Stegostoma tigrinum: one gene and its partners. The protein of the gene in region 1 interacts with the protein of each later gene in a pairwise test. Links are inferred from orthologs where the notes say so. Each region holds a gene or a part of one and is shown on either strand. Other genes may lie near its edges. The genes, in order: erbb2, ezrb and pdgfra.

The links.
Region 2: the proteins of erbb2 (region 1) and ezrb interact in a protein complementation assay, tested with the Homo sapiens proteins (2 studies listed by BioGRID and IntAct, with this or other methods). The link is inferred for Stegostoma tigrinum from reciprocal best matches to the Homo sapiens genes ERBB2 and EZR.
Region 3: the proteins of erbb2 (region 1) and pdgfra interact in a protein complementation assay, tested with the Homo sapiens proteins (2 studies listed by BioGRID, with this or other methods). The link is inferred for Stegostoma tigrinum from reciprocal best matches to the Homo sapiens genes ERBB2 and PDGFRA.

Annotation. Positions count from the first base shown.
Region 1 is NC_081384.1:1,012,228-1,019,244, forward strand, and holds the start of erbb2 (receptor tyrosine-protein kinase erbB-2), read left to right. Parts: upstream 1-3,927; 5' UTR 3,928-4,008; coding exon 4,009-4,138; intron 4,139-7,017. Other genes in the region: pgap3 (post-GPI attachment to proteins factor 3), read right to left, coding at 2,574-2,726, 3,003-3,100, 3,386-3,575. UniProt on the Homo sapiens protein: Protein tyrosine kinase that is part of several cell surface receptor complexes, but that apparently needs a coreceptor for ligand binding. Essential component of a neuregulin-receptor complex, although neuregulins do not interact with it alone.
Region 2 is NC_081362.1:34,192,249-34,199,498, forward strand, and holds the start of ezrb (ezrin b), read right to left. Parts: upstream 3,007-7,250; 5' UTR 2,871-3,006; intron 2,208-2,870; 5' UTR 2,137-2,207; coding exon 2,125-2,136; intron 1-2,124. UniProt on the Homo sapiens protein: Probably involved in connections of major cytoskeletal structures to the plasma membrane. In epithelial cells, required for the formation of microvilli and membrane ruffles on the apical pole. Along with PLEKHG6, required for normal macropinocytosis.
Region 3 is NC_081354.1:107,877,094-107,884,199, reverse strand, and holds the start of pdgfra (platelet-derived growth factor receptor alpha), read right to left. Parts: upstream 3,093-7,106; 5' UTR 2,621-3,092; intron 2,087-2,620; exon of another isoform or gene 1,807-2,086; intron 1-1,806. UniProt on the Homo sapiens protein: Tyrosine-protein kinase that acts as a cell-surface receptor for PDGFA, PDGFB and PDGFC and plays an essential role in the regulation of embryonic development, cell proliferation, survival and chemotaxis.

The DNA of each region.
Region 1 (7,017 bases):
GGCAGTTGGAATTTAACCCTGATAAATGAGAGGTGATGGTAACAAGACAAGGGAACACTCAATGAATGGCAGGATGCTAGGAAGGTCAGGGGACGAGATGGATATTGGGTGCTTTGACCACAGATCTTTGAAGATGGCAGGATAGGTTATTAGGGTAGTTAAGGCCCAAGTACAGCATATTTGCCTTTATCAGGTCTGGCATAGCTTACAAGAGAAGGGAAGCTATGGTGCAGCTGTACAGAACATTGATTAGGCCACAGCTGGAGTACCGAATGCAATTCTGGACACCACACAATAGGATGGATGTGACTGCACTGGAGCAGGTGCAGAGATGATTCATTAGGATGTTGCCCCGGACGGTGCATTTCAGCAATAAACAGAGGCTGGATAAGCACAGCACCTTTTCTTTGCAGCAAAGAAGGCTGAGAGGAAGAAACCTGATGGAGGTATAGAAGATTATGGAGGGCATATACAGGGTAGAAAGAAACCAGCTTTTCCCTTTGGTTGAAGGGTCAATAACAAGGGGCCATAATTTTAAGGTGAGAGGCACAAGGTTTATAGAGATTTGAGGAAAATCTTGTTCAACTAGAGGTCAGTGGGAATCTGAAACACTATTTGGGAGGGTTGTTTAGGGTGGAAAACTCAACTTTTAAAAAGTAGTTGGATGAACATGAAACGTAACAATCAAGGCTACGTACCAAGTGCTGGGTAGTGGGTCTAGTGAGAATTGGGTATTTTTGTCAATGCAGACTTAGTGGGCCACAGGCATCTTCTGTATGATTGTAACAGTATGTTAGAGGCTAGAAACTTGTCAGGAGTACCTCATCTCCTCATTCCCCAAAGCCTGTCCACCATCTACAAGGCATTAGACAGGAGTGTGGTGGAATACTCTCCACTTGGATAAGTGCAATGCCAAAACTCACTCAAGAAACTTGACACCATTCAGGACAAAACAGCAGCTCAATCGACATGTACATGCATCTACTTCCAGACTGGCACTCAGTAGCAGCAGTGTGTACCATCTACAAGATGCACTATTGAAATTTATCAAATTTCCTTAGACAGTGCCTTACAAGCTCACTTATCTAGGAGGCCAAGACGAGCAGATTACTGGAAAAACCACCGCATGCAAGCTCCCCTCCAAACCACCATCTTGGCTAGGATATGCAGTACTGTTACTGAAACTATACCCACAATGCCATTAGGGAGGGAGTTCCAACACTTACTGTACATCCTAGCCAAGGTGTTGCGTGGCTTGGAGGGGAACTTTCACATGGTGGTATTTTCATTAATTTGCTCCTCTTGTCCTCCTAGATAAGAGTTGTGGGCTTGTAAGGCATGGTCTGAGGAGATTTGATTATTTCTCTTGTGCATCTTGTCGATGGTTCAAGGAAGCAGCTCACCACAATCATCTTCAGGGCAAGAAGTGATGGCAACCATCATTCCATGAAATATTTATTTGTAAAGCTGACCTTCTGCCATCTACTGATCCATCCCTCATCTATAGCTCAGCTCAGTTCACTTCAGCTAGCTCAGCTTTCACACCCACATGGTTACTCTTAGTTATGTTTAAAATATAGTCTTATACTAACTTTTACCTTTCCAACAGGACACAAAATTTAATCATATTGTCATCATTGCTACCTCTAGGTTTACTGTGAGGTCATTAATTAATGCTGCCACATTATATAGCCCCAAATCTAGTAGAACCTGTTCTCTGATAAGGCCAATACCTTACACAGTATTCTAGATGTGGTCTCATCAACACCACGCATAACTGGAGCGAAACAGTTCTACTTTTATATCCTATTCACTTTGTAGTAAGCACCAACATTCCACTTGCCTTCCTAATGGCTTGCCATGCGTGCATAGTTCTTTTGCTTCAACAACCAGGACACAAGACAGCTTTGAACATTTGAGTTCTGCAATCTCTCCTATTAGATAATCTGCTGTTTCTTTGCTCTTTCTGGACAAATTCACATATTCACACATTATGGCTACTGCACGATATTCAACATTTCTATCAAATCTGCTGTAAGGAGAACTGTGCCAGCATCTCCTAATTAACTAAATACCTCACCCCTGGGAAAACAATCTGGTAAATCCCCTCTGCAAAAGTCCTTGACATCATTCCCAAAGTGCGGTGCCCAGAATGGGACAACATTTCAGCAGGGGTCAAACCTATCACTGACAAAAATTTAGTATAATCTCTTGGCACTTCAATTCAAGATTGTAACTGGGAGAAATCTAAAAGGCACTAATTACACCTTCATAAAGTCACTCGGACTTAAAGCAGCACCGTACAAGCTGGAGGTGACTCAACACCGATCTCTCCGTGAAAACACCCTCAATTATGGGCAAAAATTTAAAACTGCAAACAAGCCCCAGCTCCCAACTTCTCTGGAAAGCTATGCATGTGGTCACAGGAGGAGGCAAGATAAACTCAGGGTGATTTGCTTTCCTGGACCTCTAACAGGCTGTATCAGTCTGCTTCCTGTTCTACAGTATCTCTTCACTGCACTGTCGAGAGACACCAACTCTTTTACAACAGCAGAGTTTAGTATTGTCATTACCATGGCGAAGGAGATGCATGTATGGTACATCGGAGATTCGAGAGGCACTGCAGCCCGGTACCTGCCCAACATCATGTAGTTGGCCAGTCCATTCAGCATAGAGGCAAAGGCTGAGGCAGGTTCTTGGAAGAACAGAAATCGGTAGAAGGGCCACTGCAAAAAGAAAGAGAAGCACTAGTTCAGTCAAGAAACAATCCAGCATCCTTAGCCAGGGCAGTGGTGGTGGTGGGGCTCAACAAATGGTCTTGAGAAACATCAAATTACAGGCAATATTTTTGTGAAGGGGCTCAGGGTCACACCAAAGTGGTCATTGTAGGGTTCACAATAAGGGTTCGTGGTCTTACTGGTTCCCAGGAATATCAGATATTGAATGCTCCAACCAAAGTCAGTATCAATTAATAATTTAAATTACTGCAGCACCCACATCACCTTGCCATAAAATTGAGGCACTTTGTGTCCTTCCTGAACGTACAGTCCCACTGTCAGCCACATACAGTTGTATTGACAGTCATCAGCACAACTCCAACCTGCCAGTAGAAAGAGACATGGTCAACATTCAAGCTACTTTTAACAAGCAACTCAACCACAAATTAACTAACTTCAGGGCCACTGCAATAGGGAAAAGACAACTGTTGAATCAACGGGCATTGCCTCAGTCTGAGTAAAGAAACAAAGGAAAATAATTCTTGATCAAATGCCCACTCATTTTGATGCAATGAAAGCAAAACGGACAGAAACCCCGACGAGAGTCGGGGTTCGGGGTCCGGGGGTGGGGGGTGGGTGGCGCGTACCCTGGGGGATGTGGCCCTTACCTGCTGCCATCATGTAGAGGGGCTGCAGTTTGTGGAAAATCCGCAGCCGGGCTCCAGTACAGTTGTGTCGCCCACACATCTGGACGCAGTGGCGGTAGTAGGGCTCCCGGTCCCCCTGGGAGCAAGAGGCGGCAGGCAGACAGACAGCGGCAAGGCCCAAGCAGTACAAGGCCAAGGCATTAGCCCACATCGTCAAGGCGGGCGGGAATCCCAGAGACGGACACGTACAACAATCCAACAGGATTACTGCGTTACACCTTCATCGGCCCCCGGCACACTAACAGCGGGTAAACGTACCGCCGGGCCCTCTCCGCAGCCAGACACGGCGCCATTAACCTCACCTTTCTCTGGCCCCGCCCACACAAAGGCCAAGCTCCTCCTCGCCTCACCAACACGGCGAGCCCCGCCCCACAGCTGTGCCCCACCCACACGGCGAGCCCCACCCCTCATCCCGGCCCCACGCACACGGCAAGCCCCGCCCCTCATCCCTGCTCCACGCACACGACAAGCCACGCCCTCATTGCTGGCCCCACGGTCTCACACAGCCCCACCATTTTCCTTCCCTCCCCCACCCCCGTAGAACAATCCAAAAGCCCCGCCCGCTATTTGTCCCCACCGCAACCATGTGCCCCGCCCACCGCCGGAGCCCGCCCCACTCCGCTCCGGCCGGAAGTGGAGCTCGCGCGGCCGGCGGGACGATGCGGCTCGCGGGGCTTCTGCTCCTCGCAGCGCTCGGTGCGGCCCAGAGGCCAGGTAAGGCCTGCGGTGAGATAAGGCTGGGACGGTGTTCCGGCGGTTGGGGGAGAGTAGGAAGCTAGTGTGGGGACGGTGATCCAGCCGTGGCCTCAGATTGCGTGTCGCTGCGGGCAGGGGTGTTGCGGCAGAGAGGTATAGTCACTGCTCAATACCGACAGCGATCAGGAGCCCGGACGATCCCAATCAGGCCAAGTGTGAACGGAAAGGTGACACCTCCGACAGTGCCCGCTCCCTCAGCACTGACCCTCCGACAGTGCCCGCTCCCTCAGCACTGACCCTCCGACAGTGCCCGCTCCCTCAGCACTGACCCTCCGACAGTGCCCGCTCCCTCAGCACTGACCCTCCGACAGTGCCCGCTCCCTCAGCACTGACCCTCCGACAGTGCCCGCTCCCTCAGCACTGACCCTCCGACAGTGCCCGCTCCCTCAGCACTGACCCTCCGACAGTGCCCGCTCCCTCAGCACTGACCCTCCGACTGTGCCCGCTCCCTCAGCACTGACCCTCCGACTGTGCCCGCTCCCTCAGCACTGACCCTCCGACAGTGCCCCCTCCCTCAGCACTGACCCTCCGACAGTGCCCCCTCCCTCAGCACTGACCCTCCGACAGTGCCCCCTCCCTCAGCACTGACCCTCCGACAGTGCCCCCTCCCTCAGCACTGACCCTCCGACAGGGCCCGCTCCCTCAGCACTGACCCTCCGACAGTGCCCGCTCCCTCAGCACTGACCCTCCGACAGTGCCCGCTCCCTCAGCACTGACCCTCCGACAGTGCCCGCTCCCTCAGCACTGACCCTCCGACAGTGCCCGCTCCCTCAGCACTGACCCTCCGACTGTGCCCGCTCCCTCAGCACTGACCCTCCGACAGCGCCCACTCCCTCAGCACTGACCCTCCGACAGCGCCCGCTCCCTCAGCCCAGACCCTCCGACAGCGCCCGCTCCCTCAGCCCAGACCCTCCGACAGCGCTCGCTCCCTCAGCCCAGACCCTCCGACAGTGCGGCGCTCCCTCAGCACTGACCCTCCGACAGTGCCCGCTCCCTCAGCACTGACCCTCCGACAGTGCCCGCTCCCTCAGCACTGACCCTCCGACAGTGCGGCGCTCCCTCAGCACTGACCCTCCGACAGTGCCCGCTCCCTCAGCACTGACCCTCCGACAGTGCCCGCTCCCTCAGCACTGACCCTCCGACAGTGCCCGCTCCCTCAGCACTGACCCTCCGACAGTGCCCGCTCCCTCAGCACTGACCCTCCGACAGTGCCCGCTCCCTCAGCACTGACCCTCCGACAGTGCGGCGCTCCCCAAGCACTGACCCTCCGACAGTGCCCGCTCCCTCAGCCCAGACCCTCCGACAGTGCCCGCTCCCTCAGCACTGACCCTCCGACAGTTCCCGCTCCCTCAGCACTGACCCTCCGACAGTGCGGCGCTCCCCAAGCACTGACCCTTCGACAGTTCCCGCTCCCTCAGCCCAGACCCTCCGACAGTGCGGCGCTCCCCAAGCACTGACCCTCCGACAGTGCCCGCTCCCTCAGCCCAGACCCTCTGACAGTGCCCGCTCCCTCAGCCCAGACCCTCTGACAGTGCCCGCTCCCTCAGCACTGACCCTCCGACAGTTCCCGCTCCCTCAGCACTGACCCTCCGACAGTGCGGCGCTCCCCAAGCACTGACCCTTCGACAGTTCCCCTCCCTCAGCCCAGACCCTCCGACAGTGCCCGCTCCCTCAGCACTGACCCTCCGACAGTACCCTCCCTCAGCACTGACCCTCCGACAGTTCCTGCTCCCTCAGCACTGACCCTCTGACAGTGCCCGCTCCCTCAGCACTGACCCTCTGGCAGTGCCTGCTCCCTCAGTACTGACCCTCTGACAGTGCCCGCTCCCTCAGCACTGACCCTCCGACAGTACCCTCCCTCAGCCCAGACCCTCTGACAGTGCCCGCTCCCTCAGCCCAGACCCTCTGACAGTGCCCGCTCCCTCAGCACTGACCCTCCGGCAGTGCCTGCTCCCTCAGCACTGACCCTCCGACAGTGCGGCGCTCCCTCAGCGCTGACCCTCCGACAGTGCGGCGCTCCCTCAGCGCTGACCCTCCGACAGTGCGGCGCTCCCTCGGCACTCCCTTGGGGTCGTTGGTTATTATTTTTGAAAAGGTGAGTTATTTGGTGATATCGGAAATGCGAAGGAAATAATTCAGATTTGTAGGAGCCAGGTGCTCGACTGTTTTGGATCTGAATATGAGAATTTTAAAATGGTTGTGCAGCAGATCTGCGAGACAATGCAACATTAGTCACTGAAAGTGGAGGTGATTGGTGGATGTAACTCCGTGAAAATTAGTTTTGTGGGAACGGAATTTCAGATGATGTAGAGTGATTAGAGGGCAGAAGATGAGACCAATTGCAAGTCTGTTGGATATTTTTATACCCAGAACTAAAAAATGTGTTGTTGATGATTTTGGCTGTGGGTGTGGCCAATGTTACAAATGTGCAGATAGGTGGCCTTGGTAATGGAAAGGAGATAGGATCAGAAGCCCAGCTCTGAGACAATTGGCACATTATTTGTAAAATTTCATTTGTCAAAATTCTAGGATCAGGTTTCTTATTAGAGTTTGATTCTAGTCATCAAGTCGTGTTCCAGAGGGTTGTGGAATTTCTGTGGTTGAATATATTTAAGGCTGAACATATTTTTGGTCTCTCAGAGCAGAGAAATATTGAGTGATTGAGAAAGTAGAGTTGAAACCCAAGATAAGGGTTATGTTAAATATCACAGCAAGTTCAATTGGTAAGTATCTGTACAATATAGAGAGGGTGCTGTGCTGTCGGAGTTGCTAACTTTTGGTTGAGAAATAAACTGATGTTGACCTTTCAGGTAAAGTTAAAAGATCAGTTTGACTAC
Region 2 (7,250 bases), on another chromosome or scaffold:
GTCATAGTTTCTACTTCAATCAATGCAAGTACTACATTCCACCACCCGGTCTGCAAAGACCTTATCCTATGCTGTTCAAATGTTTAAGTTAAGTTGATAACAACAATCAAAATCCAGTTTGTTTGTGTCTTGTCATTCCATCATAATTACAGAATGCAGAGGACTTTACAAGTCACTCTGATCTAATGAAACTACTCCACTGTTACATACTGTTTTTGCACATCTACACCCCATCACAATGCCCTGACACAGGGAAGTGGGTCTTAAATGAGCCTGATGATCTCATTATTGCCTCAAATACATCCTGAAATATGGAACCAAGTACTAAACATAACACCTGTGACTTACTAAATTACTACAGATTCAACATCATTATATCTCAATTTTTAATTGAATTATGCTTCTTTAAATCAGAAAACTTGGCTCTTTTGAAATCTCAGCAATAAGAATATTTATTTTCCATAAAAACTTCATGAAGTCATCAAATACTGAGTAGAGAACCTTTGTTCAGTCCAATTTCCAGCTTAGTAACGATGACAATACTTGCTCTACACTAGGTTCAACTCAGTTCTCAGCACATTAATGTAATTGATCAACATTTTTAATCAATTACATTATCAAAAGCATGCAAAATGCAGGAATTCTTGACACATTAATTATGACCTTTGAAAATCCTGAACTGTTTAAAAAAAGTCAGAAAGATCTTGGTTATGGGATTGAAGTCACATGCCAAGTTATTTTCCCCTTCCCTTTCTGTTTCTAAAAAGGAACAGCTTAAACAATCTTACCAGATTTATACAGCCATTCCAGCACAGAATGTGCTATTCAACCCCTTGAGTCCATGCTGACTATACAGCAATCCGATCAGAGAATTCCTCTGCTCTATTCTGCAGCCCTGAAAATTGGATTATCCTCTACTGCCCATCCAATTGTTTTGAAATCATGCTTTCATTCCTACCACTCTTGTAGGGGGCAAGCTCCTAGCCATTACTACTCAGGAGTAAGATAATAAAATGTGAGGCTGGATGAACACAGCAGGCCAAGCAGCATCTCAGGAGCACAAAAGCTGACGTTTCGGGCCTAGACCCTTCAGAGTGCTCCTGAGATGCTGCTTGGCCTGCTGTGTTCATCCAGCCTCACATTTTATTATCTTGGAATTCTCCAGCATCTGCAGTTCCCATTATCTCTGATACTACTCAGAGTAAAACAGTTCCTTACTTAAAGTTTTAAATCTGTATCCCTAAGCCTTGTATCAATTAATGCAAACAGGTCTCCTTTCAAGCCAGATTTAACTGATCTAGTACAATGTGTATTTTACATTTTAACAACCAAGGTACAATCTAGAACTAGCAAATACAAGGTATGGCTCAGACTTGAGCAACACGCAAACTGAAATCAGAATACTCACATGAACTTTCAAGTGTTAAAACTTATAAATGAAAATAACTGCAATTTATTATTGAACAAAATGTATGGTCCAATTTGTTAATCAGAACACGTAGTAAACTTTCATGCATTCAGCAGCCATCCACTTTTAAAGGAGAACAACATTGAAATTGAAGAATGAGAAGACACCCAAAGCTCATGCTGGCTACATTTTTCCTGAAGGCAGGAATCATCTTAAGTAGTCCATTTTTTTGCAACAATTAAATAGTACCCTCTAGCGTTTCCACAGCAACCAAATCAAAACTTTTAAAACACTTCATTCTATTACAAATGTAGGCTTTGTTCATCATACCAGGCCACCTCTGAAACTTGGAAGGGTGATGACTTAAAACTTAATGTAGTGTGATCAAGTCTAAAAGGCAAACCAAATTCTGTACCAGCACAACTCACTGTCAGGTTTAACTAACAACAATTATTCAACAATTCATAGCCACAGCAACCTACAATGCCAAAGCTTCAAGTTTCAATTAAAGCAAGATTACCTTGTGAAAATTGCTCTATCAGTCAGAATTACATAAAGGGGGAAAAATAGGAAAAACTGGCAGTTATATTGCTGCAAGTGTTAGATTATATGTAATTCAATGCATGAAGTGATTGCTGCGACTTACTTCACAAGACACCATCTTATTTAAGAATTAAACACGCTTGGCTTTCTAAAAAAAGACTTTTACTACATACCGGTTTCGGCATTTTCGGTCTTCTGAAGTTATTTCTAGTTGAACAAGTGCCGAGAAGTTGAGGTTTAAGGTCCAATCAATCACCTGCCACAAAATGAACATTGAGGTAAGGAGCTGGGTCTGGGTAGAAGTCGTGCCTGGCCCGGCAAAAGCTGCACCTTGCAGTGATTCACCTCCAGAAACTTCGAGTGGTAAACAGGGCACAGTCAGAAAATTCACTAAAGAACAGCGGGTGCCACCCACTCACAAAATGCCTCCAGGGAGGGGAGGTGGTGAGGGAGACGATTGTGTGAGGATGTGACCCTGGGCTTGGTTCAGGGTCGCCTTGGGTTAATTAAAGTGACATTCCCCCAAGATTTAGGAGGTTAAATCAGGCCTTGGACAGTTTGAGGTATCAACCCTGGTTAATTCGGGCGGAGTCTGCATATACGCTCTGATATTTGCCTCAAATCGTTATTTAAAATTCCGAAAGAACAGTTTTGATCTAAATTTTAAATACTTTACAGAATTTACATTTTAAAATTTGCTATGATAATTTAAATTAGTTTGACTGTAGATGAATTAGATTCAACAAAAAAAACTTTTCGAAATTCTTATGTCTGATGTTACGCTCCCCCGAAAATTCGGTGAAAGAAGCCACGCAATCTCGGTAGAGATTGGGTCGGACATACATCAATCACAGCGCAATTGCACTCCACCCGCTCCTTACTACCTCTCAACTTTTTCCCCGGCAACTCGGCTCCTTACCTGCCCACAGGTCGCTTACACCTGGGTGTCTCCAATATGGCTGGCTGTTCCGTTTTACCTAATCCTCTCCGTTTCTTGCTGCCACTCCCCTGTAACGCGGCCGCTCCCTATCTCAGTGGCGCTGCCTTTCACCCGCCTCCAATACTACAGCATTAAGAAAGCACTAACTTTCATTTAGGTAGCACCTTTGGACTGGTGGAATTTTTGGAAAGTTAGCGCTCACAAAACAGAAATGACCAGATTATCTCAAGAGATAGCAAGAACTGCAGATGCTGGAGTCTGAGATAACAGTGTGGAGATGGAGAAGCACGGCAGGCCGAACAGCTTGGCCTGCTGTGCTTCTCCATCTCCACACTGTGTTATCACTGACGAGATTATTTGCTTTAGTTATATTGATTAAAGGACAGATGTTGATCAGGGATAATTCATTTTCTCTCAAAGAATACAGCGGATTTTTTTTCTTGTTTGGTTCAAATGACTCATTTCTTTAATATCCTATCAGAAAGAAAAGACCTCTCTGAGAACAAAGTCTCCCTCACTCCTGCACTAAAATATCAGTATTATGAACTCAATGTCTGGAATGGGGCTTAAGTCTACTCTTAGAACATAGAACATAGAACAGTACAGCACAGAACAGGCCCTTCAGCCCACAATGTTGTGCCGACCATTGATCCTCATGTATGCACCCTCAAATTTCTGTGACCATATACATGTCCAGCAGTCTCTTAAATGACCCCAATGACCTTGCTTCCACAACTGCTGCTGGCAATGCATTCCATGCTCTCACAACTCTCTGCGTAAAGAACCTGCCTCTGACATCCCCTCTATACTTTCCACCAACCAGCTTAAAACTATGACCCCTCGTGCTAGCCATTTCTGCCCTGGGAAATAGTCTCTGGCTATCAACTCTATCTATGCCTCTCATTATCTTGTATACCTCAATTAGGTCCCCTCTCCTCCTCCTTTTCTCCAATGAAAAGAGACCGAGTTCAGTCAACCTCTCTTCATAAGATAAGCCCTCTAGTCCAGGCAGCATCCTGGTAAACCTCCTCTGAACCCTCTCCAAAGCATCCACATCTTTCCTATAATAGGGCGCCCAGAACTGGACGCAGTATTCCAAGTGCGGTCTAACCAAAGTTTTATAGAGCTGCAACAAGATCTCATGACTCTTAAACTCAATCCCCCTGTTAATGAAAGCCAAAACACCATATGCTTTCTTAACAACCCTGTCCACTTGGGTGGCCATTTTAAGGGATCTATGTATCTGCACACCAGGATCCCTCTGTTCCTCCACGCTGCCAAGAATCCTATCCTTAATCCTGTACTCAGCTTTCAAATTCGACCTTCCAAAATGCATCACCTCGCATTTATCCAGGTTGAACTCCATCTGCCACCTCTCAGCCCATCTCTGCATCCTGTCAATGTCCCGCTGCAGCCTACAACAGCCCTCTACACTGTCAACGACACCTCCGACCTTTGTATCGTCTGCAAACTTGCTGACCCATCCTTCAATCCCCTCGTCCAAGTCATTAATAAAAATTACAAACAGTAGAGGCCCAAGGACAGAGCCCTGTGGAACTCCACTCACCACTGACTTCCAGGCAGAATATTTTCCTTCTACTACCACTCGCTGTCTTCTGTTGGCCAGCCAATTCTGTATCCAGACAGCTAAGTTCCCCTGTATCCCATTCCTCCTGACCTTCTGAATGAGCCTACCATGGGGAACCTTATCAAATGCCTTACTGAAGTCCATATACACCACATCCACAGCTCGACCCTCATCAACCTTTCTAGTCACATCCTCAAAAAACCCGATAAGGTTTGTAAGGCATGACCTACCCCTCACAAAGCAGTGTTGACTGTATTTGATCAAGCCATGCTCTTCCAGATGGTCATAAATCTTATCCCTCAGAATCCTTTCTAACACCTTGCAGACGACAGACGTGAGACTTACCGGTCTATAATTGTCGGGGATTTCCCTATTTCCTTTCTTGAAGAGAGGAATTACATTTGCCTCTCTCCAGTCCTCAGGTACGACTCCAGTGGAGAGCGAGGATGCAAAGATCTTCGCAAGTGGCGAAGCAATTGCATTTCTCGCTTCCCAAAGCAGCCGAGGACAAATCTGGTCCGGGCCTGGTGACTTGTCAATCTTAATGTTTGACTCTTGTCTGATGTGTTTTATCTTAGCAAAGTATCAAAGTACAGTATGTCTAAAAGGTAGACAGAGTGATGGCCGCTGACCTTGTTTAAGTGCTGAATAACAAAGGCAAATGTGGACAGTACGCACATAAAGAGAAACAGGGTATCAATACAAAAGTAGTAGATGGGAGGAACTGAATATCTCAAATAATAACAGAATTCCTTTATTTCTAGCGCTTTCTGTTTTTGTTTCAGGCTGCCACACAATATGCAATCACAAGACACAGCAGCCCTCTCTGGAGGGGCTAGTGGCACTTGGCAGTACTTGCCAAATTCATTGTGCTACAATATATGGTCTATAGCTCTGCCATTTTGAGGTCACAATGTTTTCCAAAACAGCTGACAGAAGATAGAGTGAAGAAGTGAATGGAGGAAAACCTGTACTAAAAGACTCTGAAAACAAGAACCAAAAGATGTTTGTCTGACTGACCAGCTACCAAATTGAGGTTCAGTGTGGTTGACAATAACATGATATCATTGCCAAAATCAAGAGAACTGATGGAAGCTACTTCACTCGGAGGGCTGTTGTGGGTTGCAATGGGACACTGACAGGACATAAAGCTAGGCAAAGAAGTGGCAGATGGAATTCAACCCAGAAAAGTGTCAAGTGATTCATTTTGGAAGGTTGAATGTGAATGCAGAATACAGGGTTAATGGCAGGATTCTTGGCAGTGTGGAGGAACAGAGGGATCTTGGGGTCCATGTCCATAGATCCCTCAAAGTTGCCAACAAGTTGATCAGGTTATTAAGAAGGTGCATGGCGTGTTGGCTTTCATGGGCAGGGAAATTGAGTTTAAAAGCTGCGAGGTTATGCTGTAGCTCTGTAAAATCCTGGTTAGACCACACTCGGAATATTATGTTCAGTTCTGGTTGCTACATTAAGGGAAGGATGTGGAAGCTTTAGAGAGGGTGCAGAGAAGATTTACCAGGATGCTGCCTGGACTGGAGGACAGGTCTTATGATGAAAGGTTGAGGGAGCTAGGGCTTTTCTCTTTTGGAGCGAAGAAGGATGACAGGTGACTTGACAGAGGGGTACAAGATAATGAGAGGCACAGATAGAGTGGATACCCAGAGTCTTTTTCCCAGGACAGAAATGACTATTGCAAGTGTACATAATTTTAAAGTGATTGGAGGAAGGTATAGGGGAGATGTCGGAGATAGGTTCTTTACGCAGAGAGTGGTGGGTGCATGGAATGTTCTGCCGGTGGTGGTAGTGGAGTCAGATACATTAAGGAAATTTAAGCGACTCTTGGATAGGCACATGGATATGCAGGGCAGTTTGATCTTAGAATAGGATAATAGATTGGCACAACATCATGGGCCAAAGGGCCAGTACTGTGCTATTCTGTTCCATGTTCTATGTTCTATGTTCTCTTCCACTCCATTGTGGTTTGGACTTTTGACCCATTGAAAGCCATAGAATGCCAGTGTCATTCAGCAACAAGATAACAAAGTGTGGAGCTGGATGAACACAGCAGGCCAAGCAGCATCTCAGGAGCACAAAAGCTGACGTTTCGGGCCTAGACATCTGATGAAGGGTCTAGGCCCGAAACGTCAGCTTTTGTGCTCCTGAGATGCTGCTTGGCCTGCTGAGTTCATCCAGCTCCACACTTTGTTATCTTGGATTCTCCAGCATCTGCAGTTCCCATTATCTCTCATTCAACAACAATATTTCTCTAAAATTGCTTTCTCTGTTTGTGAATGAATGTGTGCATATTTTGATTTAAAGGGAGGATGGTTTAGGTTTGCATATTAGTAATTAATATTCCATTTTTACTAAGTGCCAAAGAATATGTATGTCATAATAAATGCCTTTTTCCTTCCTTGTTCATTGATAGAAGTTATTAAAAAATAACCATCTTAGTCATTTACATTTTTGGAACAACTCATGGAATAGTGGGATTTAATTTCCAATGCACACTTCACATCAGGGTCATGACAGGACTTCAGCTCCACTTTGTCATTCACTCCTCAAATCTTTGATCTTTCAAGAGACGAAAGATCTATTACAACCTTCAAGATGACAACAATGGAGCATCCGCAATGTTTAAGGATAGAGTATTCCAAAGATTTACAGTCTTTTGATTGATTAAAATTCTCATAACCTCATCCCACTTGATTGTTCCTGATGCTAAAGGAAACTATATCTCTGTGTTTCAGACTCCCCAGAGAATACGTCAA
Region 3 (7,106 bases), on another chromosome or scaffold:
CACACACACACACACACACACACAAGTGTTCTCGAAATACTTGCAGTAGGGAAAAAAACGTACAGCACCCACATCCCAGTTTTGTCACGTGCAGGAGGGTATCCTTTGTCATTGTCAATCTGATGACATTTTAAACCTCTATTAATGTTTGTGAGAGGAACAGCAAGTTACAGATATAGCATTTACATTCTGCATTCAATATTCGTAATCCCAAGCGATGTTTGAAGGTAGAAAAAAGAACCTGGTGAAGACTCGAGTTGACTCCACGTTACAAAGGGGCGAAACAGCCAGAGACCTGGGGGACAGGCTGCAGGCCACTCAGTTATACCCACCCGCCGCTCTCATCCTGCCTGTCCGGGATTACTCAGCAGCAGAGTGGCTTGACCTGAGTAACCGGCTTTGATTCAGGTTGTTTTTGTTGTGGAGGATGTGCATTTGGGACGTGCTAAACCCTAGGGTAATTTATCAGATTCCTCCAAGCGTCCTTTAAGTGCAACAAGACGGGGAGCAGACTCCAGTGTGAGGAGGTCAGCTCCAAACTACCCCCTGGATTCGCCACCAAACCCCTGGGATGTCCCAGGGGAGTGAATAGGCAAAGCGCATCCTCTCTCCGCTCGGTCAAAATCCTGCAGGGGTCCTGTGAGCTGGCAGTGCAAATAGAGTCGCCTCCCAAAGGCGAACATTTCGAAATCTTTGGGACACCACCCGCTGGCTTGATTCTGCGTCGAAAATCTCACCTCAACAGGGCTCCAAGATAACAAAGTGTGGAGCTCCGCTCCGTTCATGAAAGACTGAACTGTGAGCAGAGGATGGGACTGGGAATAATGACAACAGAGAGGCCAGGACAACTGAAAGCGAACATGTTTTAGTCACAGTCTTGGTTAACTTGGTTAAATAAAAGGATTAGAGAGAAAGAGAGAAACAGAAAGGATTTCCCGACAACAGGAGCTGTTTTATCAGAAGATAGCCTTACAGAAGTCCCATTGTTACCGACTTTACTTTTCTCAATAAGAGCTGGGGCTTCTTAAAGTGCCAGCTACCCACCGCGCGGAGCGCTGCGCTCTCTCTCTCTCTCTCTCTCTGTATCTGCGCTGCTCTTAACCATTTCAGTGCCACCCAGCAGGGTCTCGGTTTCAACAGCCCTCCCACTGGCTTTTGGCACTTCTGATGAAGAGCTGCGACTACTTCGGGCCAAATGTTTACCCGTCCATCGGTCCGTCTGCCGCTTCTCAATCTCCGGATCGAGTCCCCGGCAAAAAGAGGGGAGCAGGGGAGATCGGCGCGGGGAAGTGCTGTGTGGGGTGTTGGGGGGGGGGGGATGCCGGGCAAAGGGTCTGCTCCGGGTGTTTCCTGAGCAAGAGAAGGCAACGGGCACACGGAGCAGGGCAGACAGCAAATCAGACGCACCTCTCAGAGAAAACAAAAAATCCAGTACCAGAGTAGAGAAACTATTTTTGGGTACAGCGGTAAAACAGAGAGAGTGGGGGGGGGGGGAGTTGGGCAGTGGGCGAGTGGATAACTATAGAGGCTAAAGGACCTGGGGGTGGGGGCAAAGTGACAAAATAGTGCGAACGATGGAACAGCAAGTGGGAAAAGTCGGCTTAGAGAGAATCGGAGTAAAGTTGTAAGTTTTACTGTTCATTCTCTTCCAGAACTGAAGGGGGTTTGAATGAAGGAAATGATTAAAATGAATGATCAAGTTTCCTGAGAGTGAGTCTAACTACAGCCAAATGATGAAGAAAGAAACAAGTTATAAGAAAAGGAGCGAAGAGAGAGATATTACTGAAATACTACATTGATTCCTACCTCGTTTATCCTGCTGCTACTTTCCCCTCTCGCAAGTTTCGCAGAAACCTCCCGATACTGCTTTCCCTCACGGACTAGCCAACAAGCATTGGCTCACTTCTCCCTCCTTCCTGTTTACGTGATTCATCCGCACGCCAGAACTCCTGTACAATCCCCAAATCTCTCCCTCCGCCACCCTCGATCCCAGGACAGCGGAGTATTCCCAGGAAGAGAGAAGGAGAGACAGAAAGCCTCCACTTCGTCCGAAATTCCTCAAATCCCTGACGCAGGCTCACGGTGGCTCCCACATCCAGCGCCAATGTGTTTGTCATTATTATAGGTATTATGCAATGGAGCCATCAGTCTGCAGCGCGGCTGGCCAAGTTAAATGCAGCGGGACGGTTATCATGACCCAAGACCGTGCACAGAGCCGCTCTGTTTCCTCACTCGATAACGGTACCGCTCTAACATGCCACACACTCTCAGATAAGCGCTCACTTCCAAACTCAAAACATGCACTCCACTCAATGAAACGCACCACTTTCATACTCCATCGCTGGCCAAAGCGAACAGCCTTCTGAGAACAATCGACGATATGAACAAGACTCTTACATAATAAAGTACAAGCAGTTCTCCTAGTCCTTAAGATGCTTGTGCCCCTTTGGACCGACGGCGAACCAGCAGAGGGATGTGTGCAGGCACAGCTGTGGGTGCAATCTATATTGTCGTCTGGAACGCCAGACCTATTTACTAACAGATTTTACACAAGGAGATAAAACAGGGCCCCCACTCTCGCCCCGCACGCCTTTATAAAAATGATTTGTTTGCCCCCTACCTTGTGCAAAGTGGTAAGTCCACCAACTTCTGTTCCGAACAGGGGCAGCATGTACGTTTCACTCTGGAGCTGGGCTCAGATTGTTTAATGGCTCAAAGAACGGCGACTTGTAATTGATTCAATGTTGCAGTCCATCCTTCCAAAAAAACTAATCATCTGCTTTAAGTAAATAACTGTCAGGAAATGAAGCCCCTGAAGTCGCTTCAGAATAAGAGTCCGCAGATCACACGCTGCTCTTGGAGCCCTATTGGCTTCAGGCGGTCGAAGCTAGCCTTCCCAAACTCTTATCCACGCAGGGCAGTCACATTCAGGCTGTCTTGCGCAGAAAATTGCCATATGTGCATTTTGAAGCAAGTTTTATATGGACGAAAATGTTTCCCTCTCTCTCTCTCTCCCCAAGTTGCACCCCTCCGCCCGTGCTGACAATACGCTCACGGAAGGATAGCTAGTCTTTATGAATGAATTCCCAGCCCTTGTTAAACGCGGCTGATCTGTGCTCAGTACCAATGTAGTGGGACAGTTACGTTTGTAATGTTAGTGTCACTCAAATAGAAATGGCTTGAGAGATTTGAGGATTGTTTGCCAGAGTTTTGTTTAGAGAGGTGTGGGGGTAGGGTTTGGGGGAAAGAGAACTGCATAGTATTTTTAATGTCCTCCTGAACGTTGTCAACCGCAATAAATCTGCAAAGTGTTTTATTTTGGGATTATAGGAAACAGAAGACATTCCTAAACACTGGGTAAAATGATTTAAGTATGTTGTAAACAGATCGTTTCGCGTAATGACCTGATTCAATATTGACCAGTGAAGGCAGGAGGCGCCCTTGTTCTGTTCCTTGGGAGTTATTGCCCAGGAGTGAGGTGAGATCGCCTGCTCTCTTTGCATTTAAAAACCCGAACTGGCTGCATGAAAAGGTCGGTTTGACATGTTGTCTAACAAGCTCAGACCGTCTCCATCTTCTAATCAATTGGGATAAAGCAAGGGTGTAAATATCGAAAGAAATGTGGCGGGGAGCAATTGTGCAAACTATGTGCCAACACTGGGTGCCCGCTGGAAGGAGCGGGCTTGTTCGTTCTCCTGTTTTTTTTTTGTGTAGCTCGCTGCTGTTTCTCATCTTGCCCCCAGCCGTTAGCTGCAGTAATATATCTTCAGCGCTGGGAGTGAACAGGCCAAATATTACTTCCACATGTGTTTCAGGAAATCATTGGAGGCAACAGCGAGGCCAATCTGGGGAACCTCTTGTTTCTGGATGCTCGGAGATACCGTATTATTCCGAAAGAAACAGTCTCTTACCCATCTGAGAGAACGTTCGAATGTGTTTGATGTAAATAAGAGCGTGTTTATAAACTATTAGTGACGGCACACGCGCCGATCGATAGACTAACTTTTCAAAAAGGGAAAAAAAAGCCGAGAGTTTTGCAGTCCCTGTCCATTTCAAACCCTGTTGTTATTTCCCGAATACTTCGCTGAGTTTCTCGCTCTTTGGACTTGTCATGTTTTCACCCTCGGTGGTACATTTAGCTGTTTTTCCAACTAAGAAATTATTTCAGTTTATTGTTTAAACACCGACTGCGTTATCTTGTAAGAAATCAAATAACTCTAAGAAGCCACGCTGGGGGGTTAGAGTGTAGCTATATCCTATTTACAAGTCTGAGCCTGAGATTGTAATGGTTTGAGTGTACATCAGTCGGCAGACCGAACAATAGTTTGAGTCAATTGGTTGCAATTTGAAAAACATTGCTGCCTCTTGCAAACATCCAGTTAATTGACTTTGTCGGGAATGATGAATACGTGGATGGAAGGTCAAGCACAGAGTAAACTTGATGCAAGGTGAAGGTGAGCTCTCTGTTGCTGAATTACTACAGTGTAGATTTCCAATACAAGGTCACTCCCTCGGCGCACTGACCTGCAGCGTTTGGAGGGGTGTGTGGGGAGAAGAACAGGTCGGTGGAATACCACCTCCAGTCAGCAGCCGAGCTCCCTGTGAGCCCTAGCTAGGTACACACCGCCCTGACCCGCCAGTCAACAATCGAGGCTCCACTTTCAGCTTCTCACCAACAGGCCATCTTGAAGGGATTCCGAACTAGAGGAACACCATTAACCCCACCCGCCTGCTCCCAAGGATGATGTCCACGGCCTATTGGGCTGGTTGAAGGTAAAGGTCGGCAAGATTGCAGGCTTGGCCAGGGCAATCGTTTGGCCCAAAGAGCTGAGATTGCTCAGCCTCCAGTGTAATAGAAAATCCCTCGTCTGGGCGCTTGTGCACCTGGCCCATAGGATGCAGGGGTACAGCAGAACCACCTCTATACCTGCTGGAATAAACCCAGCAAGTGCAGAGGAAGACTTGCGATTTTGAACGGGAGATTATCAGCGTATGCGCATATTTATTCGCCTGGATTGGGAGGGTTTCTTCTGAAATAAAACGGAAAGATACACGGCCCACTCGATCAATCCTGATGTGGACAGATGTGTCATTGTTAGATCATAACCTCGTTACTGTGGGAAGACGTGCGTCCACACAACGCAAATTGGTCTGACGTAAACATGCTCTTTACCCAGGTTACTCTTAACATTACGCTACAGCATGTTTTAATTCAGCAGTCTGGTTGGGGGCGATTTCCATTCCACGACATAACATGCGCTCTGCTTCAGTACCCCGGCACTCCGGCGAAGATAAGCACAGAACTGTGAGACTTGCATGTGTTGGTAACACTGCATCTTCAGGGGGAGCTCAGTGCCTGCCCGTCAGCAATGAGCAGCGCTGCTGTTATCGATCTAACTCCCGTTCCCAGACTCAGAATAACATCTGCAGTAATTTGCTCCTTCATTCCCAAACCTCCGCTTTGCTCTCCTTAACGAATACTTTAAACAAATAAAGATTCCACGGTGTAATAAGTTATTTGCAAGTTTGGGAGTTTGGTGAAAGGATTTTGTGTTTAAAAGGCAATTATCACTCTTTTTGGAGCTAACCTAATTGAATTCAATGACAGACTAACTCCTTGACTTTATTAGGGGGCTGCGTGGGTGCAAATGACACGGAGACCAAGAAAGCCATTTGACCAGAGGGGGCCCGCGATACTGTTGAAAGCAATCCGTAACTTGTCCTTCCTCATGATTTCTTTTCTTTTTGGGGGTAGATTAGTCAGAGCAGCTGGGTTCCGTTGCTCCTACTGGGGTGAATCAAACTGCCGGGAAAGACAATTAATAAACTACCCAGCCAGCACAGAGGCGCTGTGTGGTCCGAACGGGTATAAGGGAGGGGGGGTAAGAAAATGTCTCCCAAAGTGACAGGTCTGTTTGTTTATTTGTCTCTTATCAGGCCATACTCTAATAGGAAGCGTTTAAATGCACACCATATGTGTCCGTGGATGGCTCCCTGACTGTCCCAACTCCCTTCACCATGTGTCACAAGGGACCTCTCGCATTGATAACAGGCCGCTATCAAGGTCCAATCTGTGGGATATTCTATGAACTGTTAGCTCGTATTTGTTCAGTGTGCTCTGTGAAATTCTGTCCCCACCACCCCCGCTGTGAGTGTTGTCCACGGGATAAATAATTTTTTGCTCGATATGGAGCTGCCGGAGTTGTGCGGGGGTTTCAAGTCTTTTTTTTTTCGGTGTAATCTGGCCGTTGTGAACGCTTTGGGACTGAGTTGTCAGCGAAGGCGAACGCAGTTGCTTTCCCTTTGATGTAGCTGACTGGTTCGTAAACCGAGACTTCATCTGGTTTTCGATCCCAGCTTTAAAACTACAGTTTTACAAACTGATGCTGGCCATTTACAACCAGGAGCGCAATTAGTTCTAGTGTGTGAGCTTTGTTTTATGACCACATTCGATCCGGTTCAGTCTTAATGATCGTTTGGTTTGGCACCTTCTAGAGTATCCTCACTTGAATGTTGTTTGACTCGTATCTTGCGTTCTGAGACTCGCTCCTGAACTTAAAAGCTCCATTCGTTTCCAGTGGCAGTGTACTGATTTCTCTCTCTCTCTCTCTCTCTCTCGCTGGCACATGCCCCGACTGTAACAATGTCGTTCATGAACGTTTCACAACAGATGAACAATGTAATCAAACACAGGTTCTTTCGGAACTGGCAAAGACATTTTGCTGGACCAACTGCACTCTACAAGACTTTTCATTGCACCTCTCAATCCTGCTTTCTTCAGAAACACGGACCACCAGCCAGAACTCGGTTTGTACCGTTTGTTTTCATCAAGACTATTCTCAATACCTTGCCCTCACACTAAAGCAGTTTTAAAAAGCGGGACCTTTTCGTGTCATATCGGATTAGAACACTTGCTGGAGTGGAAATGAGAAAAGGTCAACTCCCAGTCTATCCGTCTAACCCACTCTACTGTCACCCAGGATACTGCGTAGTTCTTCACCATAAACTATTTTATCATTCATAAATACTATTCTCTCTTCAGCCATTTGCGTTTCCATTTAACTTTCCGATTCATATTTAATGAGCGTACTCGTAAAGTTCTTTAC